Linked DNA regions of Drosophila melanogaster. The protein of the gene in region 3 interacts with the protein of the main gene of each other region in a pairwise test. Each region holds a gene or a part of one and is shown on either strand. Other genes may lie near its edges. The genes, in order: bib, Yp1, CG16985 and CG2017.

Region 1 (7,710 bases), on a different chromosome or scaffold from region 3:
CCATATGCAAAATAATGCCGCATCATTAGTGCGTCGGTCGACAATGTGAAAGGGTTGCAAGTGGGGCACGTGTCGAGCACCGGCTGTATGTCCTCCGGATTCCGAACATTTTTTTTGCGCCTCAGTAAAACCCAGAAATCGTGTTTTTCGCCGGATTTGCATATGCTGATGTTCACAGCATCATGTGAATTAGATTTTAGTGTTTTTCATTGTGGCAGGTCAAAGGGTTTAAGGGCACGAACAAAGCTGTCTAGTCATGTAGGTTTTGTGATATTCGAAGGATAATGGAGTACTTTGTATTTCATACTCCAAATCAATCAACCATGAGCCGGGAGGATTTGTTTATTTAAAACTCTTAAGGATTGTGCTAAGTTGTTTCTTTCCACATTCATATGTCCTCCCAAAATCGGTTCTATTTGGTATGCTACGCCTCCGATTTCTTGCATAACGCCTCCTCTTCGCAGCCAGTGATCTTTTCCCACAGAGCATGGAAACCACACAAATCCGTTGACCTTGTTAAGATTTGGTAAAATAACCCGCAGAATTGGCGATCCGTCTGGGCAAGGCCGGTTACCTGTCGTCGGACACCAATGGCAGGATGAGGAGCTTGAGGGGTCAGAAGTCTGGACAGATACTCACGCTTTATTCACTCATAAGTCACGGCTTCGTTTTGCAGCCAAAGAAGTGGCTGAGCAGCCATAAATCAGCTCCTCATATGGCGAACACGATCAACAGTTCATCGGTTCGACTCGCATATCTCTAATAATGATATCAGGGCATCCTCCCCGGGGAATTCAGCATTCTGATTGCCCCATCGACAGCTTACCGAAGAGCAGGCGGCTTTTCCCAGGCCCCTTTCCCTTTTTTTTTCGGCCCCAGCAGGCGAGGCATCGTGACACCATCACCACATCCATTTGCAACTGCGGCAACCTGCACTATGGAGAATTCCCGAAGGTTCCGTGGCATCCTGTCTTGCACCCACGACGTGGTCATTACACTGCAAGCAATAAGGATGAAGATAATGTGGTTACTTTAGTAAATTGAACTTTATTTCATTTGAAATTTGAAGGTAAATAATGTTTTTTTATTTCAGGGTTTGAATAAATTCTTTCATTTAAATATCCTTTTCTTTTTATATTGTAATCTTATCTCTCAGTCATTTGTAGCTGTGTAAGCAAAAACAATTACAAAAAGGGTAAAAAGCATGCTTATGGGTATATTTTCGAATGAAAGGCATCCGTACTAAATTCGTGAAAATATGGTACATACAGTAAATAAACTTGTTTAATTTTTTCGAAATTTGAATCATTTTTAACATTTGTCCATATATTGGTTACACAGTTAGAAGCTACAAAGTTACGAATAGAGAATACTTCAGAACTTGAGTAGTAATGGGTATATTAAATGCGGCGCATTATCAAGCTCAGCTTAATGTAACCAAAGGAAAAGAATGAAAAGGATAAGAGCTTCATCTCCAATTCTTTTCTGCTCTCCCACAAAAAGAGTAAAACGACAGCATATCTCCAAAATGAGATGAGCGTATTCGGTTACTCTCGTTGTCTTTCTCCCACGATAAGTACGGACATGGATGTATCCAGAGGGGGGTCTTATCAATATTATTATCAATTGTGAAGTATTAAATTTTTAGTGAATGTGTTTAAAATTGTTTTCTACGGGTAATTCTTAACAGCTCTTACCTTCTCAGTAATCTATTTAAAATCTTTACTTCTTCTCCATAGGTACAATCACTTTTAATTTCCTTCTTAAATCTTTGATATCATATCAAAGAATGACTTAAAAAGTGTAATATTGATAAAATCAATAACTAAGAAACTAACTTGAACTACCTCCATGGCTGCAGGAAGGGGATCTTGCATGCACACGAGCAGAAAGACCGGCGACGATGATTATGGTGATGATGATGATGATGATGACGACGATGTGATTGAAACAAAACATCTTATTATTACCTTACCTTCGACCGGCCAAAGGAACGACCCCGTGCGACCTCGACGTAAAAACAAGCGAAAAATACGAAATAAAAAGTGAAAAACAAAAAGTCAGACACACACACAGAGAGTGTGTGCAAAATAATTCCCACGCTCAGAGGTCCCAGAGCCAGAGCCTTTTGTCGTCTCGTCTCCTTCGGCGTCTCCTCCGCATCATCATCCCCATTATCATCATCGTCATCATCATGGTGCTCCAACGTGCCATATATGGCAACGTCCTTCCGACGGCCCCCTGCCTTCCTCCGCCCCTTTTTTTTCCGAAGTTTGTCGGAAAAAAAATAATGTACAAAATCGCAACAGTGACGAAATTTCTGAGGCCTCCTCGCTTTCTTCGAGTCCCTCTTTTCTTGTGGCCGGGCAAAGAAGTCTGCGTGATTGATTTCACTTCGTCCACGGAGTGGCGAACCTAATTTCTTAACTTTCACAGCTCATTGGGCTTGAAGAATCACTCGACTCACACGAGGACAGCTTGACAATTGACAGGTAAGGGTATCAAGTGGTTAGGGCTCATAATTATAGTTTTTAGTGATGCGGAAAATGTGAACCGGTGAGAATGGCCCCTTTTTCGGCATCTCCCTTTGGAGTTTCTGGCCCGAAAGTGCACTCAAGAAAATGGTCAATCTTAAAGTACTTAAATCTCTACATAAAGAATTTAATGTCATACATACATACATATTAAATCACAAAAAGGCTTCATCTTGTAATCTATAATGGATGTGTTTTAATTTATTATCTTATTATCGATATGTTCGGGAATAAAATATGTATAATTTTATATATACTAACTATTATAGCAACTATATCATAACTATAATTTTCCCTTGGCGAATTCCAGTGTGATGGTCCTGGGATCGAAATCAGTTTTATTTTAATACACCGAGTTAACCACAAAAGTGGCATGCCCAACTCATCTAATGAAAGTTTTTGCCCATTCGGGCAGATTATTTTACATTTCATTAATGTGTCGAAAAAGGGAAATGCTTTCAATGAAAGCTGCTCCCAGGCCCAGCTGCCTGTGTTCCCCATCATCATCATCATCATCCTCATTCTCATCGTCGCAACCATCATCATCATCATCATCTTTGGGTCCCGGGAATCTGGAATCTGTGTTATTGATCAGTGCTGCGCAATTAACTTAGCAACTTATGATTATGATTATGCTGCCGAATGGGTGGTGAGTACGAGGCATTACTCATGTATGGCGGTAAAACCAACAGGTTGACAGGACCTCTGTTTCGTTTCCATTCCGTTCCAATGCACTGAGCATATTTTGGAAACTGTGAAATCAATATATTTGATATTAAATATTATCTTATGAGGTTATTTAATGTATAAAATGTGGCTTTTACTTAGAAGTGTGCAACTAAAAAATTATTTATATAAGTAAGTATAAGTTGTTGGAAATTACTTATACGTTTATATAAGTATATCGTTCAAAATATATATAGGAAAGATAATGATATTAAAACGTTGTTTTTGCTTGCAGATTTCCATCGTTTGCTGCGTGACAAATGCACCTTATTTATTTCTCAGTGCAGGGGTTGCTTATCCACCACTGCGTCGGTGGAGTGGGCAGCTGTTTCGCTGCCGCCGCCGAGCGATAGTGGTGGTGGTGTTGGTGGTGAGTTGTGTTGCAACTTCAACTTGTTCCTGAGGGCCGTGGACGTCGATGTCGGCGAGCAGAAGCAACCTGACTCTGACTCGACTCGGTTATTCGCTCACCACTCGCGCTTGAATACGGACGTGTTTTCGGTTCGAAGTCAAAGTCAAAGTAGAAGGCGAATCACAACGGATCGGTCGAAAGTTCAGAAACTCGTCAATTGACATAAATTGAGTGCAATTTGCAGTGTGCGAAATGTGTGTCTAAGTGAAGCCAATCGACCAGCCAACAATTCGCCAGCTTCGCCGCCTCTTGTCGCGTGTTTCGCTCAATTCAACTACTTAATTAGTAGACATAAACAAATCGTGCTTTGAGTCCGACATGGCCGACGAAAGTCTGCACACCGTGCCCCTGGAGCACAACATAGACTACCACATCGTGACGCTATTCGAGCGCCTGGAGGCGATGCGTAAGGACTCGCACGGCGGTGGCCACGGGGTCAACAATCGCCTGTCCAGCACCCTGCAGGCTCCCAAGCGGAGCATGCAGGCTGAGATTCGCACGCTGGAGTTTTGGAGGTAAGTCAAGCCTGCCCTAGGACAAATACTTATATAGATATACGGGATTAACTATGTTATTTAATGACTGAAATTCGGAAAAACGTCTTTTGCCAAAAACTTGATATTTACAAGCGGCATTTTTGTCATAACTTCGCTAAAACTTCTCATATTGATGAAAGAATAACTGTTTTGAGCAGCTATTTACCAGAGCTATCGAACCCTATCACTTTTTGAAGGATTTAGGAAAATTAATTTTTGGGTGAATTTTCACATTTTTTGTAAGGGGTAACATCATCAAAATTTGAAAAAAAATGGCAAAAAAATTGAATTGTCGTTTTTAAATACAGTTCGATTAGGAATTTAATTGCGAGTTTAACGAGGTATAACATTCAATATTCAGACAACTATTTTAAATGTTCTGATAAAAAAACTGATAATTTTTGTGCAGAAAATTAGAGTAATGATTTGGGAAAAATGTCATTTTTACTAAGATTTTTTTAAGATTTTAAATAAAACCACAATCTGTTGTGTATGATCAAATACTTACAATTAGAGAGGGTAAAACATGATTGTATCTCGTATGCATATTAACTAACCCTTTTTAATCTAAACTAAATCTTCAATCTAAATGGCGGGGTTTTTTTCGCGTGTATATCATCTTCGAACCTTTTGTTTTTGTAGTCATTATCTGCACTTGCTTTCAATTTGCTCAACTTTAGATGGCAATTGTTGGATGTCAGCTGGCTTTGTCTGAACGCTAAGTAATTGAAATCCAAGTGTTCTCCAGACGCACATCATCAAGATAATCGCCAAACTAAACACGGCCAAAGTTTCGAGCACTTTGTGGCCCATACAAGGACCTTTTGCTCAGGGAACTGGCAAATAACAAACATTTCATCACGAGCTGATGGAGTAATTAAATCTTAGCCAGCAGCATGTCGAGCGCTTAAATTCCGGCTAAACTGCGGGACCCTTTTGTCTCAAGTCCTCCGACTGACCATTTAAAATGAAAAACTTGAACTTAGTGGGGAGCAGAGAACTTAGGCAGAAGTTGAGATACATATTTAGTTCCAATTAAAGTGAAGTGCCGCTGCCAAATTAAACAGCTGAATACATGATTTTATGGAAATTCATAAAGCCCTCGATTTGTTTGCATTTTCGTTATCGTGCAGCGGACTCTGCGCTTTTTAGCTTAATGTGAATCAACTGAATTCGGCAGCATTGCAGCTGCTCATCAGAACGCTTCCCCTAGAGCTCCCCCATCCGCTCCAGAACCCACTCGCAGTCCCTCCAGCTCCTCCTCAGCCTGCCCACCCGCCCCCTGCTTAATTGTCACTCCACGACTTGAGGGCAACAAAAAAGAGCTTTGTGTGCAACTTGATTTGTGCCGTACAGTAGATACCAGCTAACTTGGAAAAGTCTAGGGCTGCACGACAAAAACTTTGAAACGGATTTCATTTGATTTCAGTATGAATCCTTTGGCTCAACACGCTTAGCCTTACTATACTTAAGCGCTGAAATATATGTTTATGCAACCAATATTCACTGTACTGTACACATTCCACATGCAGTCGGTGGAGCCACATGCAAACCAAACCCAGTTGCGGAACCATGCTAACCCCGGGCTCGTTCGCCTTCTTCCATTCCTCTTCCATTCCAGATCCATCATCAGCGAGTGTCTGGCCTCCTTCATGTACGTGTTCATCGTCTGCGGTGCCGCCGCTGGCGTCGGAGTGGGGGCCAGTGTGTCGTCCGTGCTTTTGGCCACGGCTCTGGCCTCCGGCCTGGCGATGGCTACACTGACGCAGTGCTTCCTCCACATCTCGGGTAAGTCGAAGGAGACAATAAACAAGCGCAAAAACATCAACAGAATGGGGCGACAAGTGTCTCTTTTCGGGTTGCCCATTGGAATTGCGTGGGAAACTGCCGTTTTCAAGGGAGCCCCATGACCATAACCAGCCAGCACACGGAACCCCCTTTTTTTTTGTTTGCTATACTTTCGAGAAGGCAATGCACTCGGTGCGGCTCCACCTACTCCAGCTCCTTGGAATCTTATCGCCCCCGGGCCAAGTTCCACCACTTCTTTCTTTTTCCCTTATTCCCTTGCATTTATTCTGGTATTTATGTATTTGTTCATTTGCGTTGACATTCAAGGCAATTAAATGTCTTTACAAGTAAAAAAAGAAAAAGAGAATGAAAACAGACCAAAGACCAAAGTAATGTAGTTGGGACCCCATCGTGAAAAGCGTCTTGAAACATGTGTTCTTGATTTTCCTGCAACTCCCCCATTTTGTGTTGGCTTGCAATTCCCCGCCTTTTCACAGCCAATTGGTTGTGCATTAAGTTATGATGTTGTTCTATACGAAATGCCTTCCGAAGAAGTGTCAAATTGATATTAAATGTTGCTCCCCTTTGGGTGGCCACCACCAGAGATTGACGTCAGTATCTAAAGATATGCTTTCCCCTTCATAGGCGCCCACATCAATCCCGCCGTAACCCTGGCTCTATGCGTAGTGCGATCCATATCTCCGATCCGGGCTGCCATGTACATAACCGCACAATGTGGCGGAGGAATCGCCGGAGCTGCTCTGCTTTATGGGTAAGTTTTTTCGTATTTATTAAGTTACACATATCTTAAGTAGACAAATCATTGGTTTGAAAACAAGTAAGCCAAAATCATAAATAAACATTGCCCAATAAATGGAGTTTAAAGCGATATCCTTTTGAAAAGCCTCACATGAATAATTTAACCAATTGATTGAGCAAAGCCATTGATAGTCGAGGCTATCTATTATGCACATCAAATCCCCGCATTAAAAGCCTTATGTTGTCGCATACAGCACGCCAAACTCAATTGAACAGGAATTCATTTTAAATTTTCGGTGTGCAAGAGTGTATTTAAATCTGTGTATATTTGCACGCCTGACCACAGCAATTGCTGCATTATGCGAAGGACATCGTGCATCCTGCGTGTGGAATTGCCCAAAAGCAAACTGAAGAGTCTCAAATTAAATCCAACAGGCTGTCCAAAGAACCTAGTCGTAAATCAAAAGATTGTGGGACAGGCACGGGGAGAGAGGACAGAGGGATACTAGGATAAATCGGATAGAGACAGATGAAACGCACTTTTGGGCGATGACTGTACAACAAGGACTCACGACAGGAAGCGTGAAATGCGTAGAAATGGGGAATCCTACAAAAGAAATGTGCAGGTAACCTAGGACGAACACACACATACACATGCATATGCACAATCACCTGCAGGAAAAAGGACGCAGGTAGGCTAGGATTCTCTATCTGGCGAAGAAACATCTGCCCCTATGCTCAGATGTTTGCGTAGTGATTTCCCGCTTCGAAAATGAAATTTCTTTGTGATGCCTAGATAAAGGACCCTCTAGGCCAAGGATCTACACGCACACCAGCTAGCCAAAAATCTGTCTGCCTGTCACGGTTTTTCCTTTGTGTAACCAAAAATCGCAGGACGAAGGACGAACGAAACGGGAAAGAGGAGTATATATGTATATATATCTGCGCATGCGCA
Region 2 (6,843 bases), on a different chromosome or scaffold from region 3:
AGCACGAACCCACCATGGAGCGGTTCAAGCGTAAAGTCTCCGTCTTCTTCACCGGACCCACCATCAAGCGTATTTGAGACGTATTTGAGTACAAACACTGGTCACCAAGGTTGTTGCATTGCTGCTTGATTGGATAGTTAGGATCCACCTCTACATCATATACATAGATATAGAAATGAGAGAGAGCTTATCGATCGATCGAATGTTTCGTTTTCATTTCGGTTTCCTGTCCAAGCTTCAACTATGAAATACCAAAAAAAAAAAAAAAAAAAAACAAAGAACGCCACAAATCGCCAGAGATTTTGATTTAGAGCTCATTGCATTGCTTCTATGCCCCGAATCACAACTATATAGTATATATACACGTATTATAAATATAAACCAAAACAAATATATTGCTGTGATACAAATTCAATTGAACGAACATTGTAAGGATTTACCATAAAGCACACGAAACACCAAAAACCCAGCTATTAACCATCATGAATTTGCTGAAGCTCGTAGCTATAAAGCTCATATTGTATTTTGTCTAGTTAAACACGCTATCTGAGTTACAGCCACTGGATTATTCAGATCCACATATATAGACGACAGAATTTAGCGGACAAGTTAGCTTAGAGCCTCAAAAATCGCCCAAAAGAGATCTGTTACCAAGTACTAATCAATATAAATGTCCTTACACCCAGTCCGTTTGTCTGTTAGCCCGAACTAATGCTTTTCTGTAATTGTAACTGATTTTATAATATTTAAAATTAAATTAGTCAATTGTAACAGATCTCTGATAGTCTCTGATAGATACCGGACTATATCGTTTGAACTTGTCCTTGTTTTGGTTCCGTTGTAAAGATTTAACAAACTGTGAAACAATTTTATAATTGAGCAAATATTTTGCACTGTAGAGCGCACCAAACGATCTATATATAGATATATAAATATATATATATATATATATTTAAAACCGTGAAAAACGTTTGATAAACATTTTAAATAAACGGCAAAATGCCTTGTGCTTTAGTTCGGCCTCAAAGCTAAATAAATTGATTATGATATGATATAGGAATATTTATTAACGTAGTTAAAGTAGCCTGAAAACCAAATATTCAAAGAAATGAAAATAAAAATTGCTTCCACTCACAGTAAACAAAATCTAAACAATGAAATTGTTATAAAAGATAAATCAAAACTAATTTTAAACAAGCGAATATTGTGAATATACCGAAGCAAAAAAAAAATATATATATATATAGTGAGAACGATCACAAAATGTGTGGAATGTACATAAAGATAGCGAGTGGGTATCTTAAGAAAGACTGTAGTTAATATTTAAGACACTTTGGCCTGCGCTTTTACCAATATTTTTGTGGCCCAACTTGGCCCGAACTCCTTGGTTCCAACAATATTTTGCATTGATATGCTAGAGCTACCAACAAGTATATAGTATTAATATTTCTAACAATTCGGAATGTGCACTTAACTAAGCGAAGATTGAAACTAAAAATCAGAAGATGGAAACATCCTATTTAAATAGGTGGAAGTTTAAATAAGCAAAAGTCTCTCGCCTAAGCCCTGATCCTAAACTCTTGGCTGTATTTCTAATTGTTATCGCTTCATGTTGAGGTTTATTGTTATAACGCCAGCCTCCCATGAGCAATACTCCCCCCAAATTACCGTAAACAAATTATTTTCTAATCTGAGCCCAAGCCATAAGTGGAGAAGATTAGACCTCAACACCACAAAAACACCGACAACAATAAAATAAATCTAAGTTTACAAAACCAAACTACGATATTTACTTTTGATTTTGTTCCCTTTTTTTTGGGATGATCTATTAGACTATTATAGTTCCTAAATGATTTAAGATAAACAAAATAGATATTTTTAAGCTCTTTATCGAGCGTTTATTTGCTGAATTTCGCGATGTGCTCGTTAAATGTTTAGGTAATCTCAAGAAAAGGGCCAATATGGGTTCAACTTAGGGACTACAGTGTTTGTGTGGTTGGGTGGTTGTTTGTTGTTTGGTAGTTGCCATTCCAGGTGTCCAGAGTAAGCAGACTCATCCTTACTGGTAGTCCTTGCTGTCCTGGTTGGTGTTCCACGCCTGGTGGACACCGTGGTAGCTGCTCTGCTTCTGGGCGGGTGCGTTGCGGCCGAAAGGAGACTTGGGGTTCACCTGCAGAATGTAGTCACCCTCGAGATCGTGAGCGGTATCGATGCCCATGTAGGCACGCTTGCCGAATCCATCGTTCTGCTTGTACTGCTGCAGGGAGTTGGCTGGCACGGCGGGGAAGCTCCTCTCGTTTCCGGGACGCACGGACTCGGCGAAGTAGCGGGTGGCACGCATGGCGGCCTCCACCACGTTGCTGGCTCCGGGAACACCGGCGGCAGGTCCATTGGGATAGAAGTCAACATCACCGGAGCGGATGGGGGTGCCCATGCCGTAGACCGAGGTGTGGATGGCGTCAACGAATTCAGCATCACCGCGAGCCAGACCGGTCAGGGTGTTCTTGCTCTTGGCCACGATCTTGGAGGGATCCAGACCGGTGACACGGCGCAGCTTGTGTCCGGTGAGACGGGTGAATTCCTGGGCAGCGGCACCGGCAACATGGGCACCCACATTCTGGCCAATCAGGTGAATGGTATCGAAGGGCATGTCCAACTCGTTGACCATCTGGACGATCCACTTGCCGATCTTGGCGCCGGTCTTCTCAATGTCGAGCATGGCATAACGCTCATAGGTGTTCAGCTTGGAGCCCAAATCGATCACAATGATGTCGCCGCTTTGGGTCTTGGCGTTCTTAACCTCCTCGCTGTAGTCCTCCTCGCTGCTGGTCCTCTGGTTCTTCCTCTGTTCGTTGCTCTGATCCTGGTAGTCCTGGTTGCCGTTCTTGCCGTGCTGGCGCTGCTGCTGCAGATTGTAGCGCTGCATGTAAGCCTGAACCAGCTTCCTGGTCGCCTTCTTCACGGTCTCGCTGGTCTGGGGCAGTCCGGTCACAATGATGGTCACCTCATCCTCACCAAAGTTCTGCTTCTGCTTCAGGCGCTGGATCATCTCGTTCAGGGGAGCAACGGTCTTGTCACCATTGGGCTTGGGCACATAGACCTGGATGCCGCTGGGCACATAGTTGGGCTCAACGTTGTGGTGGATCTGCGACAGGTGGTCTACAAAGGATATATATATTCCATAGAATATTCGATGTTTTTTTTTTTTTTTTTTATCTGCATCTAGGATTACTCACAGACTTGCTGCAGCAGCTCGGCGCCACGCTCCAGGTTCATGTTCTCCAGACGCTCAATGGTGAAATCGTCGAGGGCGGGAATGGCCTCCAGCTGGGATCCGGAGAGCCACTGCGACGGCTTCAATGCCTGGTTGACGGAGTTGTCCATACGGCCATTGGGCTTGGCCAAGGCGGCGACCGCCAAGCAAGCCAGAAGGCTCAGCACTCTCATGGGGTTCATGGTTCGGATTTGGGATTTGGTCCTGCGGATGCGACTTCAACACTGAGTGAGTTGAACTGGCCTTCCAAATCCAACGATGGTGGTTTATATACCACAATTTGCGCTGAGCGATTTCCCATTTTCTGACTCGCTTTTCGCTGGCTCAGGCCTTAATCGGTCACTTGTGCTGAGTAAGGGTTTTCGGGTGCCTGGGAATCGGATGAGTGTATATGCTATCGATAGCGGAATAAATTGTATACATACAAAATAGACACGGGGCCTACCTATAGCTGACCCCACTGATGACTTAGCAGCACCTGCTGCCGCCTGATTATTTTAATTTGTAATCACTTTGTAGGCTCCGCTGATTGCAACATTGTAGTTGTGCACCGGATTTGATCAAATAAATGCATAAAATATAGATCTAACATGGGCATTAGTTGGTTATTATATACAACATTTTATTGATTTTTTTTGTTTATAAGTAGATTTATATTTGGCACTTTTCTTCTGCTTAATTAAAAGTCCATAATTTTGCATTTTCAATTCAAGGCCGATACAGTTCATTGATTCCTAGATGTTTGCCATTGATACGAAAAGTATGGAATGTTTGTAGTTTCCAAGGCAAGATAGTAAGATTATATTTGTTTTTGGACTTTAGAAATGAATTGATTCAGGGGAACGTTTTTCAAGGAGATTCTATTTTAATATCCGGGATTCGTTTTATAATATATGATCTTATCGATGCTATTTCATGTAACTCATTCTACTTATTAAAAATATATGTATATTTCGATAGATGTAAATATTTATATTTATAATATTATAATTTATAATATATTTATTTTGCATTTCCCTGAAAGTGCTATCTGCTTATAGAACAATTTAGACAATTCTTTTGGCAAACACTTAAATAGTTGCATAAATTTCACAAAATTGCCAAATATTTTTTTCAAACAAAAGCTTTATCTTGACCTGTGCATGAGTTCAAGTCGTGCCCCCACTGTCAAGCCCCTTAATGGCCAGACCACCTTTTGTTTATGTTATGAAAGTGCTGGTTAAAGAAGTTTCCCATTACCTGTTACCCGATGGATACTTAATAACCAAAAAAAAAAAAAAAAAAGGGGAACGAAATTTTAGAGCTCATCAGAAGTGTTGCAAAATCACTGACGCTGCGAATCAATGCATTTGTGCTGATCCAGAAATCGGTTGCTGAAATCAATTGCTTCCGGCGCGTGCATTATAGTGTGTATAGACTACCGATTCCAAGGGGTATAAAATGCATTGAGTCGCAGCAGTGGGTATGCAGTACAATTTGGTACGGTGTCTGAAAAAGTCGAACTTGGAAGCCACAATGAATCCTCTGCGCACCCTTTGCGTTATGGCCTGCCTTCTGGCGGTCGCCATGGGTAATCCCCAATCTGGTAACCGTTCCGGTCGCCGATCCAACTCCCTGGACAATGTGGAGCAGCCCAGCAACTGGGTCAATCCACGTGAAGTCGAGGAGCTGCCCAACCTGAAGGAGGTTACCCTTAAGAAGCTGCAGGAGATGAGCCTGGAGGAGGGCGCTACGCTGTTGGACAAGCTCTGTAAGTTCAAGGATCTCTAAAAGTTCTACCAATCATGTTATATTTACACGCACTATCCTATCCCGCAGACCATCTGTCCCAGTTCAACCATGTCTTCAAGCCCGATTACACCCCGGAACCCAGCCAGATCAGGGGCTACATTGTCGGCGAGCGCGGCCAGAAGATCGAGTTCAACCTGAACACTTTGGTGGAGAAGGTTAAGCGCCAGCAGAAGTTCGGCGACGATGAGGTCACCATCTTCATCCAGGGCCTGCCCGAGACCAACACCCAAGTGCAGAAGGCTACCAGGAAGCTGGTGCAGGCCTACCAGCAGCGTTACAACCTCCAGCCCTATGAGACCACCGACTACTCCAACGAGGAGCAGAGCCAGAGGAGTTCCAGCGAGGAGCAGCAAACGCAGCGCAGGAAGCAGAACGGTGAACAGGATGATACCAAGACCGGAGACCTGATTGTGATTCAGCTGGGCAATGCCATCGAGGACTTTGAGCAGTACGCCACCCTGAACATTGAGCGTCTGGGCGAGATCATTGGCAACCGTCTGGTTGAGCTGACCAACACCGTGAACGTGCCCCAAGAGATTATCCATCTGATTGGCTCTGGACCCGCTGCCCACGTTGCCGGAGTGGCTGGACGCCAGTTCACCCGTCAGACCGGACACAAGTTGCGCCGCATCACCGCCCTGGACCCCACTAAGATCTACGGCAAGCCCGAGGAGAGGCTGACCGGACTGGCCCGTGGTGATGCTGACTTCGTTGATGCCATCCACACCTCCGCCTACGGCATGGGTACCAGCCAGCGATTGGCCAACGTGGACTTCTTCCCCAACGGACCCTCGACCGGAGTGCCCGGAGCCGATAATGTCGTTGAGGCCACCATGCGTGCCACCCGCTACTTCGCCGAGTCCGTGCGTCCTGGAAACGAGAGGAACTTCCCCTCCGTGGCCGCCAGCTCGTACCAGGAGTACAAGCAGAACAAGGGCTATGGCAAGCGCGGCTACATGGGCATCGCTACCGATTTCGATCTGCAGGGCGATTACATTCTGCAGGTGAACTCGAAGAGCCCCTTCGGCAGGAGCACTCCCGCCCAGAAACAGACCGGCTACCACCAGGTCCACCAGCCCTGGCGCCAGTCCTCCTCCAACCAGGGTTCCCGCCGTCAGTAGATCATCGCACAGTGATCCATCGATGACAACCAGATCGCACACCCCTCATGCGAGCGAACCACTCCAGCCCATCCTCATCCAGCAGAACCCTCTGCCAGTTGCATCCACTACGATTAGTTAGCTTTGTTTTTTTAACTCACAATAAAAAACGTTTGCATTTTTAAACATTCTAAAGAGTTCAGTTCAATATCAGAAAAAAACCCCAGTTCAATTTACAATAAAAACAATTGCTTATGTCGAAATATTTGAGAGTTCTAAATGCTCATTATATAAAAATATCCAAAACCAAATTATGCAATGCCACTGAGGTCATAAAAGAAGCACACAACAAACATTTGGATTACATGATATGTTTATTTGATAAAGAAAGCATATTATCCATTATGATATATAGCGTACACACACGCACAACCACATATATAGATATGGCGCTATATATATGGGACGATGAACTACGGACAATATTTCTTGCTTACTACTGTATTGGCAGGCGCAAAAAAATTGGGTTGAGATATCACTAAGCTTAAATAAGAATAATTAACGTAGAATTTCAACTTGCTTCACTCATATTCATCGTCTCGATTTCAACAACCTCATCAGAACTAATCACAAATTGGAAAAATCATATACAACACGGGGTGCAATGGGAATGGATGG
Region 3 (6,333 bases):
ATCCGCTAGCTTCTATATAACTACAAAATGAATTAGTTTGTCCGATCGGAACGATTAGAAATATACTAGATTTAGTTTTGTAGATAGATAAGTAGTCGTAACGTGCACTTATATCTCAAGTGTCAGATAGTAATTGTTTTACAATAGAACAATCCAACTTTATTGTATGTATGACGTGTGTAAGTTTGGATGGGACTAAATCCATTAAAAAATAAATCACAGTAGTATATTAACAAATGGATTGCTTTGATTTTTTCAATATTTGATTTCATTATCTTCGAGTGCAGTTTTCCGCTTTTCGATGAAAAGTAAACAATTAGCAAGTATCAAAAAATAAGGTAAACATAATATAGCACGATATTATGAAATAGTTAGTATTTAGTTAACGGATCCTACCTAACTATCCCCGTACTGCCCGAAATTTACATAAAAATCTGAAAATCTAACGTAACACCTAACAAAACAATTTCAAAACAAACAACAGCTGTTTTGCGATAAGCAGAATCGCCAATCGATAAGTTAAAAGGGCAAATCGATATGCAAAGTCCTACCTATTTAAAAATTATCCGTTGGGATTTCTATAGTCTTTCATCTATTTTAGTTTTAAATATCTTTATTTTGTAAATTAAGAAATAACTAACTTAAGAAATAATAAATAATTAAACTAGTACGTCTTAAGCAGAGGTTCGAAAGATTTTATTTCGTTTTCTGACGATCTACAAAAATTGTTTTAAAAATCCAGTTTTTCCTTGTCGAACTGAATGTACTTGACCTGTCCGCCCTTGGCGATGATCTTTCCATCGGACTTACGCCTCAGAATGCAGTCCAAATAGGCCATTTTCTTACCGGCCCGCACGGTATTACAATCAATTTCAATAAGTTCGCCAGGTTTCGCTGCTGCAATGTAGCTTACATTCAGGTTGGCCGTAACTCCGGGATGGGATCCTTGAAATTTAAAAAAATTTCATTGTAGATTCTATAGATTGTAATAAACAAACTTTCAAAATACCTTTCGACATAAGGGCATATGTGGTACAATTATCAACAATTGTTGCCGTAAGACCACCGTGCAAAGTTCCTTGGCGATTCAAATGCTCATTGGCCACAGTGAACTCCCCTATTGCGCGACCATCTCCACCGCCTGTAATTTTAATCTGCGAATTGAAATTTGTTTACATTTTTGAATCTCTGAAGATCCCACGAGAGAGGTGAGCACTTCACGGTTATCGATTGCAGCGAGCTGAATTATGTAATACCATCACTGATGACAGTCAGCTGTTTTTGAGAGACTTCGACGGCGTCGCTTTAAAATCGGCTGCACAAATTGTTTAGAATCTTACCATTTTCAAGACGCGGTCGAATCCATTGGACCCGCTGGCGTACTCGGACATCTGCTTCACAAAGTCCTTTGAAAAGAAAGAACTTCAGTTATCTACTCAACAAGTTACATGGTGCTCTAACCATTCCCAGTTTCTTGGCCGCCATTCCGGTGGATTTGGATTCCTGAACTGAGCACGACGAAATGACGAAAGTTACTGAGGGAGAAATTTCACATGGCGTTCAAGATGTCGGGAAATGTGAGTGTATGCGTGCTAAATAGATATACCCACACATCTGAGATAGTGATTGCCGATTTCGCGCGGTTTGTTGTGCTCGCTCTGTTCGCACTTACAAATAATTCCTATTCTTCAATGAAATAGTGTAACTGGAATATCTTGTAATATAATTGCAGTTTGTTATTGCAATTAATAAATGTTTAATTTCGTTCTAGATTATCTGGATTTTCACCTTCTAGCCAAAGGATTCGTCCGCCAGGACTCGGTACACGACTTTGTAAACAGCGATTCCGATGGAGACTTTATAGCACTGAGCGGCTCCAAATCGGAAGTGATCACTCTGGAATTGAGCAGCAAGTTCATGGTCGTGGATCCCTTTCCGTATTTTGTGGCCATTTATGATTCCAACGCTGCGGAAACACGACCTCTGGACGTTTTGGCCAACAAAGTGGATCTGGTTGCCATATACGACAGCTGCGATGTCCTGGAGGCACAGCACTTGGCCCTGGACCCGGCATACACGGCTGTGTGCTCCGTTGCCGTGCCACCAGCCAGACTAACAGCTGTTAAGCGAGCACCCAAGCTGGCAGCTAATGGAAATCTCCTCCTGGGCTCCCTCAACACTTATGGATCCTTGAGCCTAATAAACAAGTCCGCTGAGTACAATCGTTGGAACCCTGTGGAAGGACTAAATATCGCTGAAACTCTGAGGGACACTCTGCTGCCTGAAGTGGACATCGCCAAGATAAAAGACTTTAAGAGCTATCAAGAATATATTAATCCCGCCTGGATCACTATGTTTGCTTGGTTACCTGATGATGCAGATGCCACTGGCCAGCATGTTTTGGTTCTGGGAACAGCCGCAGGAAGTTTGTGGTTGCTCACACTAAGCGCCGATGTCAAAACTCTTTTAAGTCATCAAGAAACGAAAACCTCAATGGGTCGTATCTGCCATATACAAGCTTTCAAGGACCTTCTACTGGTGGGCGATAGCAACGGACTCATTCACCTGTACCAATTGCCAGCTAAGGGAAATACAGCTCTCGCCTTAGTGAAGCCCTTGTGGGAGAAAGCCGATCGCATGGGTCTGCAAATGGCAGTGATCACTGAATGTCCCAGAATGGATTGCTATTATATAACCTGCTGCAAGGCGGCGCACCTGCTGACCTGGAGCATGCCAAGAACGGGGAGCACAGACTGCCTGCAAGCTCGGATCTATGTCGGCGGAATGAAGATCACCGCTCTCTGCAGCCTGGAGAACAGTAGCTACGTTGCAGGAACCGCTGGAAGCTGTTTGTCTTGCGTACAAATTATCCACGAGAATAATCAGCTTAGCCTGCAGATGCAATCGATAGCCATGGGTGTCCTTCAGGATTTCCAGGTGATGGGACTGTGCACCAGTAGGCACAAGAACTTAATGACCCTGTTACTCTACCGCAACAAGGAATATCTAAATGAAACTGTATCTCAAAAGAACCAGTTGGTTATGCAAGTGCTCAAGGTGGGGAATCAGGATCCACTTGATCAGCTTGTCAGGCATCTGGAATCCAATAAGCCCATGAATCACTATACCGATTTATTAGCTGGACTACGTCTGCACGTTTTTGCCGAGGAGAATTGGCAAAAATTTATGGACTTTTGTCCATTAGATTCCATTGAATTTGCCGATACCGCCACTGAAGGTCAGCTGCAGCAGCTGCAAATTAAATTTCATGTTCTTCAAAACGTGATTCGCCTGCAATCGAGCCACCTCCAGCTGACAGTTCACATCCAAAAGTCCCGGGATGAACTGCAGCTGCTCCTTGCGATGCTGAATATCACACACATAAGACTGAGGCTCCAGTTTATTGGGTCATTAAGTAAGAGATCACCATTCCAGGAGCAGGCGATAAAATGTATGTTCGAGGAGGCCCACAGACTGATAAATAAACTCAATGACGACTTCACGGAAAACCATGCCCTAGGATCCACAGCAAGGACATTCGTTGAACAAATGGGCAACCATATTCAGCACTTGCACGAGATGCTAGGTATACCTGTGATATCTAATCCCCAGAAGCAACTTCATCGATGCAGTGTGTCCTTTGTGGAGGTAAGAATTCACTAGAATTCATTTTAAGACAAGACTACAGTATCCGTACAGATCTCCCTCAGCTTGGAGCGACGCTACTGCAGCCTCTGCAACCGCCAAATCCTATTCGAGCTGGACAATCTGCAAGAACTCTACGAGTCGGGGAGACATCTGACATGTCCCGTTTGCCATGGAAGCTTTGCCACGGAAATGTTTAATGCATAAACGTTAAATTTATTCTCAATCTTAATTACGAAGTGTTTTGTGTGTCCGCCTCTAAGAGCAAAGCAAGTGAATCCATGGAGACACCTCACTCGGCTTCCAGATGCCGACACACATGGTCAGAAAAGGTGTGTGTGTCATTGTTAGTACTCGGAAACATAGATAATGGGAGTGGTCTCGATTAGCAGAATGTCCTGCTCCACCTGGCGAAGATCGGACTCCAGCTTGCTTTTGCGCTGCCGCTTGGCGATGCTGTCGATAAGGAGCGACATCGACTGATACTGCTTGGTCATCTCGGTCAGGCTCAGTCGCAGTCCCTCGAGGATCTCATTTCGCTCGGCCTGCTCCATCACCCGCATACCCGGCATTGGCGGCGGACCACTTGATTGGACGGATGCCCTGGTGAAACCCTTGATACCGCGGCACAGCTCCAGCAAACGTGCCTGTTCCTTGGCACACACCGCATTCATGTCGGCCAACATCCTCTTGGTTTTCTTGAGGTAAACAGGCACCTTGCCGAAATCCTTGCGGCAGATAAACTGCGGTACCAATCCGGAATTGAGTAGATCGTGACGAGCTCCCACGGGAGTGTCTACATAACGAGGTGGCGGGGGACAGGGAACCGTTTGTCCGGCACATATCTTGTTGCGTTTGATGAAGTTAGGTACCATTGCCGGCTTTTTGCCGCCACTGCCCGGTGGTGGTAGTGGGGGCATTGGCGGCATCTTGGGACACTTGTGGGTGTTCTCTCGCCGCCATTTGATGCCCTGGCTCTTGCGCAAATAGGCGCACGGTGGGTCAATCGGAGTGTGAGCACAGCCCATGGTGCGGTGGGCTGATTTCTTGGCCTCTGTCAGGACGCGGGTTCCATCGTTCTGGAGGATAATCGATAGCTTCTTGTCCTCCTCGTTAAAGCGTTCGCGAAGTCTCTTGGCATACTTGGCTGCCCTCTCCACAACAGCTGCAAAATTGCTTAAAGTTAGGTGGGAGGTAACGATTTTTAGTACGAATCCCTACGATTTTTGTAGACAAAAATTGATTCCTTAGGTCCTTGGGCCTTCACAAAGTCCTGCTCGCACTCGAGAATATTCTCATCGTGATGGGTGATATAAACCAGGGACATTGTAATACAAATATGTAAGGATGAAGGTAGGGAACTCGAAAGCGTGCTAGTTTACTGACTATTCGTTTAATAATAACAGTCTGTTTGGTGGAGACTCCTGCGTTGCCAAGTACCTCTGCGTTGACTTGGATTGATTTAACTCGAAACAAAGGTTGCTATAGGATTTCCAGAATAAACAGAAGGCAACATCGTTTCCTGGTGATATTGTAATATTCAGATATTTTCTAGCAATCGGAATTCGATATTTGTTCTGGATCTTTTAGGAGAACACACAAAATTGGTATTATTGTATATATATTTTTTAAAGCACAAAATCAAGCTACAGCTTGTGTCGCACACGAGTTACATTATTAAATTGTAAATAATTTGTTACCATATAAAATTCGTGTATATAAATATTTCGCTTGCGTATATAAAATAATTGTTTGCATTGTAAAATTAGCACTAAGATCGTTTGTCATGGTTACATTTTGATTCCGAAGCTTAACAATAAACATGGAAGTGTTGGAAGCACGATTTAAATACGAATACGACATAGATTCAGATACGGGTTACAGATTACAGATTCAAAACAGCACACAGAAATGCTGGTGCCGTCTTACAAGCTAGATATGTGGTTTAATGAATAATGAATTTGACGATGTTAACGAATGTAAAAGCCACTCGAAATTTGCACTGTTTTTGGATGGGGTCAGCTCTCCTCAGCTGACCACCAATAGGCACTACGAAAATCTCGGATCAGCAACATGGTCCTTCCTTTGCTATTGCACGTTGACAAGTAGATGTACTGGAGATATGATTTCATTTAGCTGAACCAGCAGTTTCACTTGTTGCCGCTGCTCTCGCGCTCCTCTCGAATCCTCTTAAATGCCTCCGTCTTGACAAAGTCCACGGATCTATAGACCACGCTGCTAGGCACTGGCGCTCGAGCTCCGCCAGCTTCGACGCCTGCGAATCGCATTCCACTAGCTCCATTTCCGCCTTGTGAGTACAGATTCCCCACACTCATGCTGGATCGATTTAGCAATGGCGGTTTGTTGGTCACATCCAGATCAAAGTACTGCAGCTTGTGCTCAGTCTGCGCCGCCGCTTGCTGCTTGGGAGCAGCTGCTGCCGTCAAGCTCATCATGGCAGCCGCTGCGGAGGCGGTGCGCTGATGTTGTACCGACATGCTGCCGGGACTGTTCGGATGATGCCGATGCTGTTGGCGAGGCAGGGTGCGGGTCTCGTGAAAGAAGGCGTTGGCTGCCGCCGGGGAGTGTACATCCGTTTCATGCGGCAGCACCATTGAGAGAGGGGCACCGGAGGAACGTCGCGTTGCCGGCGACATGGTAGCCGAATTGCCCAACTAAAAAGAAGTC
Region 4 (9,816 bases), on a different chromosome or scaffold from region 3:
TGGGCCTGGGGATGGGATTGGGAGTGGGCGTTGGAGCAGGAATGGGCGTCGGTCCTGGACCGGGAATGGGCATGGGCATGGCATCGACGATGGCCGGCACGAGCCTGTCGCCGTCGCAGCTAAACACCATCACGCACAAGTCGGCGGCAGGACGAAACCACATCATCACGGACACACTGCCCGGGCCGGAGAGCTGCGTCTAAGCACCATCCTGTCGTCCTGGCATGGAAACCAAAAGACTGGCGCACAGCAGTAGCCCAAAAACACAGCCGAATCAGAGTGACACCGAACAACTACTAGTCATGTGAAGCTGCGGTCAAGTTTGCGGTGAAGGGGTTGAATGCGTTAGTTAATCCAGGTCAAGCCACCCTTATAAGTTTACTGATTCTACAGACCAAGTTTGAGAGTATGGAGTATAAAGTATACATGGTTTTATAGAAAAATTTAAATCTATTTCGAAGAAGATACGTGTTGTTTTTAGTAAACATTCGGTAAATTTTAAATGTTTATGTTTGTAAAACAACATATCCTAAATTTACGAACTACACTGTAAACTAAATAATTTTAGGATTCCAGAAATCACATTTTGTTAGTTGTATAGCGTTTTGTAAGCTCTATTATCTGATTAATATAAGATTATTCTAAACTAGAAATGAAATGGAGATTATCATTGTCAAAACGAAACTTTCTTAGAATAAATCTGTTGTAAAATTAAAAGTGCTGTAAGAAAGCCAATTTTAAGTTGGTTTTGAGTTTGGTCTTAAGCGAATTTGAAAAGAGGGTACTACCAACTTGACCGCAGCTGTACATTTAAAAACCTTGTTCGACAGCGTCGCTTAGAAGTAATTACTAGATGTAGAGGAGTAGCTAAAGTACGAATATGTATATGTAATACGTGTGTCTGTGTCTCCGTTCGTTTGTAAATGTTTAAGCTAAGTGTAACCGTAGATGTACTTGTATACTATATCCTCCGACTGGTGTAGGTCGTAGCCCCTCCCAGCCCCGCGCCTCGTGGTTCAGTCTTTAATTTAAGGGGCGACCCCCAAGGTGAAACTAATCTTCCACGACCTGTACCCATTGCGAGGCCGAGTGGCTGGGAGCAGGGCTCTCCAACTCGAAACTCGTTGTTGAATCTGTTTGTCCCGGCTAAAGTGAGAAGAACACATCCCCCGGAAAACATAGCCCCTCCTGCCGCAGACGCACTATTTGAACTGCCCTCCCGCAAACGAGATCAAAGTCGGGCCGACCCGAAAAAAGGCAAAGTTATATTGGACACGTCTTGCGCCATTGCGTGCCCAGTGCTGGTCATTATTTAACTTTTAAACACGCGCCAAAAACAGCACCAGATTTGAATTTAATGGTCACAGCAGTTGCTCCCGCTCCCGCTACCGCTCCGGCTCCACTGGCATTAGCAGCGGGGCCAGCCAACAAGTGAGCAATAAAGAAAAGTTTAGAAAAATATCCCAATCCATGCTGCCGGCCGAATCACCAATCCGGAGTACCCCATCCCAAATGAATGGGTATATAGAACTGGGCACGGATTTGTGCGCACGATAGCGCAAAACGATGACAATAAATGGAAAACTTTTTAATAAGCTAATAAAATGATTTATGCGGGTCGAGCGATAAGAGGGATAAAAGGCACGGAGTTCCACTTCCAGATGGCCATTTGATGGGCCCGATTCCGGCCAATTCCGACAGACAGACACCTCATTGACGAACGCCAACCAGTTGGACCTGAGCACGCACACACACACACACATACACAACGAATGTATTCTTGAGCATTATTTATTGGATATTGAATGGGTCGGCCCAGCTCGCAGGATTGGGGCAGTTCAAGAGGGGAGCGTAGCCCCCACCCCCCCACCACCCTATCATCCCCCTTTCATTGGCAATTGTTATCAAGGCATTAGCACATCGGAAATGCTATACGACTATATCATACTCAAGACAAGGGCTAAACGACTATAAGTGTTCTAACGTTTGTCATATCAGTTGGGCGATTCAGTTCTTGACTTTCTATCGAAAAAACGTAATTGAAAAAAAGAAATGTATATGCTAAGTCATCGATAGCGATTAGTAAAATCAATGTAATGTCATAATGTTTAAATGTAAAAGTTATAGCATCCAGGTAACTGGTAGAGCAAATCGTAAACTTCCTCCAAGTTTATACATATATAGTAAAGGTCCCCGCTGTAGATAACCAAAATCGAGTGCCAGTAGTGCAATTTTAAAACGATCCCCAACAACCTGTAGCATCACGACATCCCCATGATCCATGTCGAGGTCAGCAGATACTATTTTATGAGCCTCAGAGAGGTCAACGATGTACATACATACATGCAAGCCCAAGTCCCGAAAACAGACAGACATACATACATATACACATCATTGTAACTGACTACATATGTAAAAATGCTTAAAATATTTGTGATAAAGTAATAATGTTAATGATAAGGAATAAAACGTAAATATATTAATGAGAATACATTGAGTTTGAATTAAAGCAATTCGAGTTGTATTTTCATTGCTGGGAGGCACAAGGTTTCCTAAATTCTTTTTTTAGCAATCTAAAAACGTTACCATATCTTCACTCATTTGAATGATTTTTTGATACCAATACAAAATTATTTTGTAGCAAAGCAGATGTTTTTGAGCTTGCAAGATAGCTCCATCGAGATTGGAATTAAGTTCTATGCTGGCTAATAAACTTATTTGAGTAAAATTTACCAAAACGAATTCTCAACACTAAAGTACTAAAGTAAAGTATGGAAATGTAGGACATGCAGATGACCGCCTTCGCAACCCCATTTATTGTTAAAAATACGTTACTATTTAAATTTGAAAAATGTGTGCCGTTCACAATGGACGCCCCGTCAGCCAGTGTTGGTAAGGGTGCGCAGCAACTGGATAGGTCAGTGTCCAAAAGGGACTAACGCGTGGCGAGCATAAACATCTGTTTGTCGGAGTCACAAAATGTAGGAAGTTTATGGTTTATAATAATTGATTGGATTGCTGGCGCAACTTTGGCGTCCCCGAAATTTGAAGTGTGTTGTGAGTGCTTAACCCACATGAGTGCAAAATTGCCATGGCAACGTGAATCGAACACGAACAGCAACACCCACACAGAGACCATTGAAGATCCGCGCATTGTGGCGCAGTATTGCATCAGCAACTGCGTAAGTGCAGCACATTGACTCCATTTTTGTTTTGCTGATGAAATCGCAGCGCGATTTTTGTTTCTTGTGAAATTCCGCTCTATGCTTGCCAAGCTTTTGTTTGTTGGTTGCATGAATTCGGTAAACGCGACAGTTACTTCCCGGAATTCAAACGGAAAGGAGCTTTCCGCGAAGCGTCCTCAATCAATTTCGAGATAGAGATAGAGAATAATAACGCAGCTGACGCGGTCAAAACAAAAGCGCTTGTGTAGAAAATCAAATGCGAAGCAAACGCGGCGAGGACAAGACGCGAAAAGCTGTCAAAACTACGCGCCGAAAAAGGAAAGGGTCTGGTCGATCAGAAATCCGCTACGCAACACAGATTGCGTATCTACATAAAACGTAATAATTTAATTGTGTGGGAGTTATCTCACAATTAAGAAGGTTCGTTTTTAAACTAAGTTTCCTTATTTGAACAACAATCGTAGAACTAAAGAGGTGTGTTTGAATTGTGGAAAGCCAAGCATTAATTGTTGAATAAAATTATCAAACGTCGCGGCTTCGCATCAAAATCGTGAAAAAGTTAACTTTTATAGTTCCAGTGTCGAAGGACGTAATGGCGTGTGACGTAATTAAACATTGTATATCCTGCCTTCTAATTGCAAAAATAAAGTAATTAGAATTAAAACCTATAAATTTACCATTTATCGTTAGCTTTAGTAATTAAATAGGTTCGTAATAACATCCCGCATTAAATATTTAGGTAACTTTCTTCTTGTGGAAATTCACTAAGTTAATTTTTTTAAGCTCAACCCCCACTTGCTAAACAAAAAATACGTTCCATGAAAGAACTCAAACGCCCTAGGGTAAGGTATTGCGAAAGCTTTTGAAGTATTCAGGTGCTTGTTCTTCGGTCAACAAAGCAAAACAATCGGGAGCAGGTTATAAACAAAATCGAAAGGCACCCAAAAGCGGAGAGCACAAGTACGCACACAACTACGAACTACAACTACAAAGCACAGCACTCAGAACCCAGATAGCCGAACGAACAACAAATTCGACCTGGGCAAATGAAAAGCGCAGCCAAAATCGATATTTTGTGCCAGCGTCGCGCGCAAATAGGAGCTGCTTTAGCGCTTAATATCTCGAATAAACTCGAGCGGATTGGTTTGATTAGTGAGCCAAATATAGGGATTATCTGGTAAGATGTTTGGAACTTGTCGTATTATCGACCTTCTGTTCCACCTGCCCCCGCGCGTGGGCTCGAAACAACGGCCAGAGTCGTGGCAAACATAAACAAGCATTTTCAAGGTCGCTGCAAGTCAAAGACGGCCAAAAAAACAAATGGGGAAAATTTCAGTTTTGATGGATACACATAAGCAAACGGTTCCATCAAAAAGATACATAGAAGTTGAAAAATAATTGTTTTTAAAGTGAAACAAATGACGTGGTGTCGAAATAAAATTAAAAAAACTTTAGTACAATATTAAAAGTTATTTCAACCCAATTATATTGGGTAATTCTCAGACTAAATACAGTACAGTATGAGTAAACAAATCAAATAATATTTACTTATGCATGTATCTCATTGCTATTATTTCAGCCACGGCTGTTCGAAAATCTGTATGTATGTACATAAGTATGTACATATGTACATTTTCGATGTCGCAATTGGCCCAAAAAATGTTTTCTTCTCAAGACAAAGAGTTCCTTTGTCTAAACAGAATTTTTACCATTTACCTCATCTGAATTTTGTATTTATATGATCCACGCTTCCCTTTTGCAGCAACACATTATGGAGTCCTTCCTGAGTCTCTTTGATCCCAATCAGGACGACGGCTTCGAGGAAGAGCCCGAGCTCAATGGCAACAGCAGCGGCGGCGGAAGCAGCAGCAGCGACTATGAGACGGACGCCAATGCCAACGAGTGCAGCGTAGTGAGCGGGATGCCCACCGAGCGGGGCAACCTGATCTTCGACTTCGAGCAGGGAATGCTGCCACCAGAGCCGCAGCTCGGAAATGTGGAGTACAAGCTGAAGCTGGTCAACCCGTCGAAGCAGCGATTCGAGCACCTGGTGACCCAGATGAAGTGGCGTCTGCGCGAGGGAAACGGCGAGGCCATCTACGAGATTGGAGTATCCGACGCCGGCTATCTGCAGGGACTCAGCGACAAGGACATGAATGCCTCGCTCACCACGCTCAAGCAGATGGCCCACAGCCTAGGAGCCAGTACCTCAGTGCTGCGGCGAAAGACCATCGCCGCCCGACGCGCCGTCGCCGAGGTACTGGTCCGTAAGATCCCCGACGACCAGCACAACATCGAGGTTCGGGTGGCGGTGCTCGGCGGAGCTGATGCAGGCAAATCCACTTTGCTGGGCGTGCTTACACAGGACGAGCTGGATAACGGACACGGCCGGGCGCGGCTCAATATGTTTAGGCACATGCACGAGATTCAGTCTGGTAATATGTCGTTATAAGCACTAAACACAGATATAAATTAAATTAAGATGTTTGGCATCCATTTTAAATTGTCATCAATAAGGAATATATCAGTTGTACTACATTATTCATACATCTCTCGTTTACAAACTTTTTTTTAAATTATATTTATCACTCACAAAGTCCGGTTTGTTTGCTTGAAAATTACCAATTTGCTCCTCTTTTCCTTAAGGCCGCACCTCCTGCATCTCCCACGAGACGCTTGGCTTCGATGCACTGGGTAATGTGGTCAACTACAAGTACAATGAGATGATGACGGCAGAGGAGATTAGCGACAGGTCCAGCAAGCTGGTTACCTTCATGGATCTAGCCGGACACCGACGCTACATGCGCACCACCGTGCAGGCACTGAGTGGATACTCACCCCACTACGCCATGCTGGTGGTATCGGCGGGCAGCGGTTGCAACGACACCACCGAGGAGCACTTGGCTATCGTGCGGGCACTGGACATGCCCTTCTTTGTATTGGTCACGAAGACAGATATCACATCGCCGGACGCGACGGTACAGGAGTTGTGCAACCTGCTCACCACCATTGGGTGCCGGAAGGTTCCCTTTGTGGTGACCAACACGGATGAGGCCATCTCCGCCGGGTCAAACCAGATCTCCGAGAACATTGTGCCCATCTTTTGCGTATCGAATGTGACCGGCACGGGACTCAACCTAGTCACAAAGTTTCTGTACGTCCTTTCGCCCGGAATCAGCAACGCCGAGAAGGATCGACTCGAGCAGGAGTCTTGCGAGTTCCAGGTGGACGAGATCTTCCGGGTCTCTGACGTCGGACCCGTTGTGGGCGGTCTACTTGTCCAGGGCGTGCTGACCGAGAATATGGCAATGAAGATTGGTCCGCTTCCCGATGGTAGCTTTCATCCCGTTACTGTTAATACTATCCACCGAAACAAGGCTCCTTGCCGAGTTGTCCGAGCTGGTCAGAGCGCTTCGCTGTCTTTCAGTATGGATCAGGATGTGCCCACGCTACGAAGTGGCATGGTTCTTTTGGGTGATATTGGAAATAGTCTGGATGAGCCCTACGGGACCTTCTTCTTCCAAGTGAGTTGCTAGTTTTCATTTATCGTTACCAAATAAATACATCAACTTCCCTTTGCAGGCCAAGGTGTCCGTGCTGTTCCACGCCACGGCCATCTATGTCGGCTTCCAAACCACAGTCCACATAGGCAGCATTCGCCAGACGGCCGTCATTCGGGGCATTATGGGCGGCGAGCGACTGGGCACAAACGATTGTGCTTCGGTGATGTTCGAGTTCGTCGGCCACCCGGAGTACGTGCGTCCTGGAATGCGCATCCTGTTCCGCGAGGGCACCAGCAAAGGAATCGGAGTTGTCACGCAGGTGTTTCCGGTCAACAAGACAGGCATAAAGTAGAGAAGCGGGCCAGATGGATAGTTCCAATGACATATCTATATATCTCAAACAAAGATGACATGTACATATACTTAATTAGCAATTAGAGGGAGGCGTTAAATCTTAGGCAGATCTTCTGTACACTTAGTTTCGGGTTCTGTGATTTTTCGTTTAAGCTCGGCTCACAATCGGATGTTGTGAGTAATCCTTCTCAATTAACCTTATTTCATTAAAATCCACCCCAAAATGCATACAATGTTGCTTTCAATTCGCGTCCGAGCCAAAGAGTATAAATAATTACCGAAGTATTAATTTTTTTCCTTCTAGCAGATGTACATATATATGTACATATGATCAAAACCGACTAACTTTAAGCAACATTTACCATCAATTCTATGGTATACAAAGACGAAAAAGTGCTCAACAATTTGTTTATTTCTGTCTACTGCTAATGTGCTCATCTTGACTACTGTTATCACTTGTTGCCGGGACACTGGCGCCACCTTCAATTTCCTCCGCCTTGGCTGGCACTTCGGATGTGAACCGGAAGAGGACGGGCACCTCTCCTATGGAGGGATTTCCGTTCGCTTCCAACAGGCGAATCCACGAGAGCAATGAGTCCTTTGTGGAGGTGCCTGTGGCACAGATGGCCATAATGGTTCCGTCGTCCTGTTGGTGGACAGAGCGCAGCTTTCCCAGCTGGTTGTGTCGCCTTGGTGGAGCACGACCAAAGAAGGGTACTTCGATGTGGGAGACATCGTCCTCGTCCAGCTGCCGCTCATCTAATTCAGACAGGAACTCAGAATCTGCATCAGCGCGCAGGGTAAAGTAGTTGATCCGGCGATTCCTAAGCCATATGTGAAAGGGTCCCTCGATGTACAGAGCTTTCTGGCGAGAGTGCTCCCGCAGCAGTTTCTCCTGCTCGGGACTCATTCCGCTCACGATCCACGTATCGTCAATGGCATCCTTCAGCTCGCTGGTCTCGAAAACCGTGATTTTGGACCGCAGGTCGACCGTGCACATCCGCTCTAGCGCCAGCTTGGCCATTTCCAATGTATCATCCGGAACAGGATCGGGCAGTGGCCACGGTGATAGGTTCTTAAACTTTGGCATCCAGTACATCATGCGCCAATACTTGCGCAGTGGATGTCCCTGCCTGCCAAACACATTAAGCAGCATCGCCTCCATCTCGTGATCGGGCATCACCCCGCAATCTTCCATCTGCTCAAGCAGATCAATGATACACTGCTGCTGTTTGGGGTAGTGCATGAACTCTGCCTGGAACATGTTGGTGGGTATGAACTTGCCCTTGGGCATCACGTTGATCAGGGCCTTGTAGACCTCCAAGTCTCTTTCCACCCCGAAATCCGCCATATTCTTGAGTGCCGCGTAGATGAACTCCACATGGTTCCGACGGTGGACGTCGCGCTCCTGGAATATCTCCACCATGGTCAGGTAGCTGTTTTTCGTCCTGTCCTGGGCGGCGGCAAAGGGGTTCCTTAAAGCCGGCAGGTTTTTGGTGCCGGGTTTTTGTGCCCTGGGATTTGGATTCGGGTTCTGTTTCGGATTTCCCTCGTCCGTAGCGTAGTTTCGAAAGCGGCTGACCAGCGAATGGCCTCCATTGCCGTGCAGCCGGAGCAGGCATTGTGCGCGGCGCAGCATTTTTTATTTATAATTAATTAATTGAATAAATTTGCAAATACGATTACAAAACATTGCACAAGCTGCGGAACTAGTTCGCGTTTTGCAGCACTGCTGCTGCAACATATGTTTTAATAGTGCCGATAGTCTAGCGTATTTAGCCAAATTTGGTAAATTCTAGGGCGAAAAATTGTATTTAGTTTCGGCTGTACCCAAAGATTTTCAAGCTTAAATAGTGTCATGACCGTAATACACGCTTAAAGTCATACGCTAGTAACAAAAGTTGAAGTGAATATTGCATAAGCTCATTGTGACTACCTTCACGAATCTCTTCCTTCGGAGAACAGCTGTTTGTCTGGCTTAGGGCCATCATCACTGGTGACTGAGTTGCTCAACACTGTATTAACTCAGTGTATCCTTTGTGCTGCTTTTTGTTGTTATTTCACCGTTTTCTGCGTTATCCTTATTCGCATAGTTTTCGGTTGTTTTTCTGTTGTTTAAGTTAGTTCCGAACCCTGAGTTATTTGCACGGGCGCGCGCCTACATAAAAATGCAATCCAACAAGCCGATCTCTGCGGCGGAGGCCTGACCAGCAGGCAGTATCTATAACAGAAGCAAAACAATAGACTTTGGCTTGGTCCCAAGGAGCACCCACCAGCCCAACGTTATTCGAGACTTCCAGCCGCCAAGGATGCACTGAAGGGAAGCGGAAACCCAAGGAGCATTTGATGTTCCCGCAATGCGAAGAGGGTAAAGAGGATTCGGGCATCACATTCTACTGACATGTTGTGCTTCGACTCGGAGAGGATGAACTGGTACTACCACGTCCTGGCCAGGCGTCCCTACCTGGTGGTCGTCTCCATTGCTGTCTACTGTGTCGCTTGCATCATCGTGGCCCTCGTCCTGAACAAGCTGCCGGACTTCAGTGATCCCACCTTGGTTTGTCCTATTAGATTTGTCCAAAACATGTTCACTGCTTGATATTTGGAGAATATATCTTATCTTATTTTACAATTATTTTTTAAAATATTGAGCACATGGAAATAATCCGAAAATGTCTAAATGATATTATTTTATTTAAATTTCGTTATATATCTATTTTTTTTAAATATTAAGAAGTTAAAATATTTTAAATATTCACAGAATTGCTATAAGA

Evidence for each region.
Region 1: the proteins of CG16985 (region 3) and bib interact in a two-hybrid assay, tested with the Drosophila melanogaster proteins (one large-scale study listed by BioGRID).
Region 2: the proteins of CG16985 (region 3) and Yp1 interact in a two-hybrid assay, tested with the Drosophila melanogaster proteins (one large-scale study listed by BioGRID).
Region 4: the proteins of CG16985 (region 3) and CG2017 interact in a two-hybrid assay, tested with the Drosophila melanogaster proteins (one large-scale study listed by BioGRID).

The regions. Positions count from the first base shown.
Region 1 is NT_033779.5:9,980,960-9,988,669, forward strand, and holds the start of bib (big brain), read left to right. Parts: upstream 1-3,685; 5' UTR 3,686-3,990; coding exon 3,991-4,187; intron 4,188-5,829; coding exon 5,830-5,996; intron 5,997-6,641; coding exon 6,642-6,768; intron 6,769-7,710. UniProt on the Drosophila melanogaster protein: Essential for proper differentiation of ectoderm. Acts synergistically with neurogenic locus proteins Notch and Delta during the separation of neural and epidermal cell lineages in response to the lateral inhibition signal.
Region 2 is NC_004354.4:10,050,530-10,057,372, reverse strand, and holds Yp1 (yolk protein 1), read right to left. Parts: upstream 3,563-6,843; 5' UTR 3,457-3,562; coding exon 3,237-3,456; intron 3,160-3,236; coding exon 2,060-3,159; 3' UTR 1,875-2,059; downstream 1-1,874. Other genes in the region: CG15312 (uncharacterized protein), read left to right, coding at 1-77; Yp2 (yolk protein 2), read left to right, coding at 4,790-5,024, 5,093-6,186. UniProt on the Drosophila melanogaster protein: Vitellogenin is the major yolk protein of eggs where it is used as a food source during embryogenesis. Along with Yp2 and Yp3, and their receptor yl/yolkless, required for maintenance of microtubule plus-end orientation towards the posterior pole of oocytes.
Region 3 is NT_037436.4:2,594,509-2,600,841, reverse strand, and holds CG16985 (uncharacterized protein), read right to left. Parts: upstream 1,523-6,333; 5' UTR 1,486-1,522; coding exon 1,462-1,485; exon of another isoform or gene 1,407-1,461; coding exon 1,341-1,406; exon of another isoform or gene 1,263-1,340; intron 1,155-1,262; coding exon 1,010-1,154; intron 946-1,009; coding exon 731-945; 3' UTR 600-730; downstream 1-599. Other genes in the region: CG12182 (uncharacterized protein), read left to right, coding at 1,523-1,577, 1,772-3,648, 3,700-3,852; CG16984 (uncharacterized protein), read right to left, coding at 3,993-4,810, 4,867-4,972; dos (daughter of sevenless), read right to left, coding at 5,796-6,320.
Region 4 is NT_033777.3:5,855,536-5,865,351, reverse strand, and holds CG2017 (uncharacterized protein), read left to right. Parts: upstream 1-2,946; 5' UTR 2,947-3,074; coding exon 3,075-3,182; intron 3,183-3,449; exon of another isoform or gene 3,450-3,605; intron 3,606-4,047; exon of another isoform or gene 4,048-4,362; intron 4,363-4,947; coding exon 4,948-5,620; intron 5,621-5,831; coding exon 5,832-6,709; exon of another isoform or gene 6,710-6,767; coding exon 6,768-7,040; 3' UTR 7,041-7,269; downstream 7,270-9,816. Other genes in the region: side-III (sidestep III), read left to right, coding at 1-203; ECSIT, read right to left, coding at 7,452-8,681; disp (dispatched), read left to right, coding at 9,444-9,599.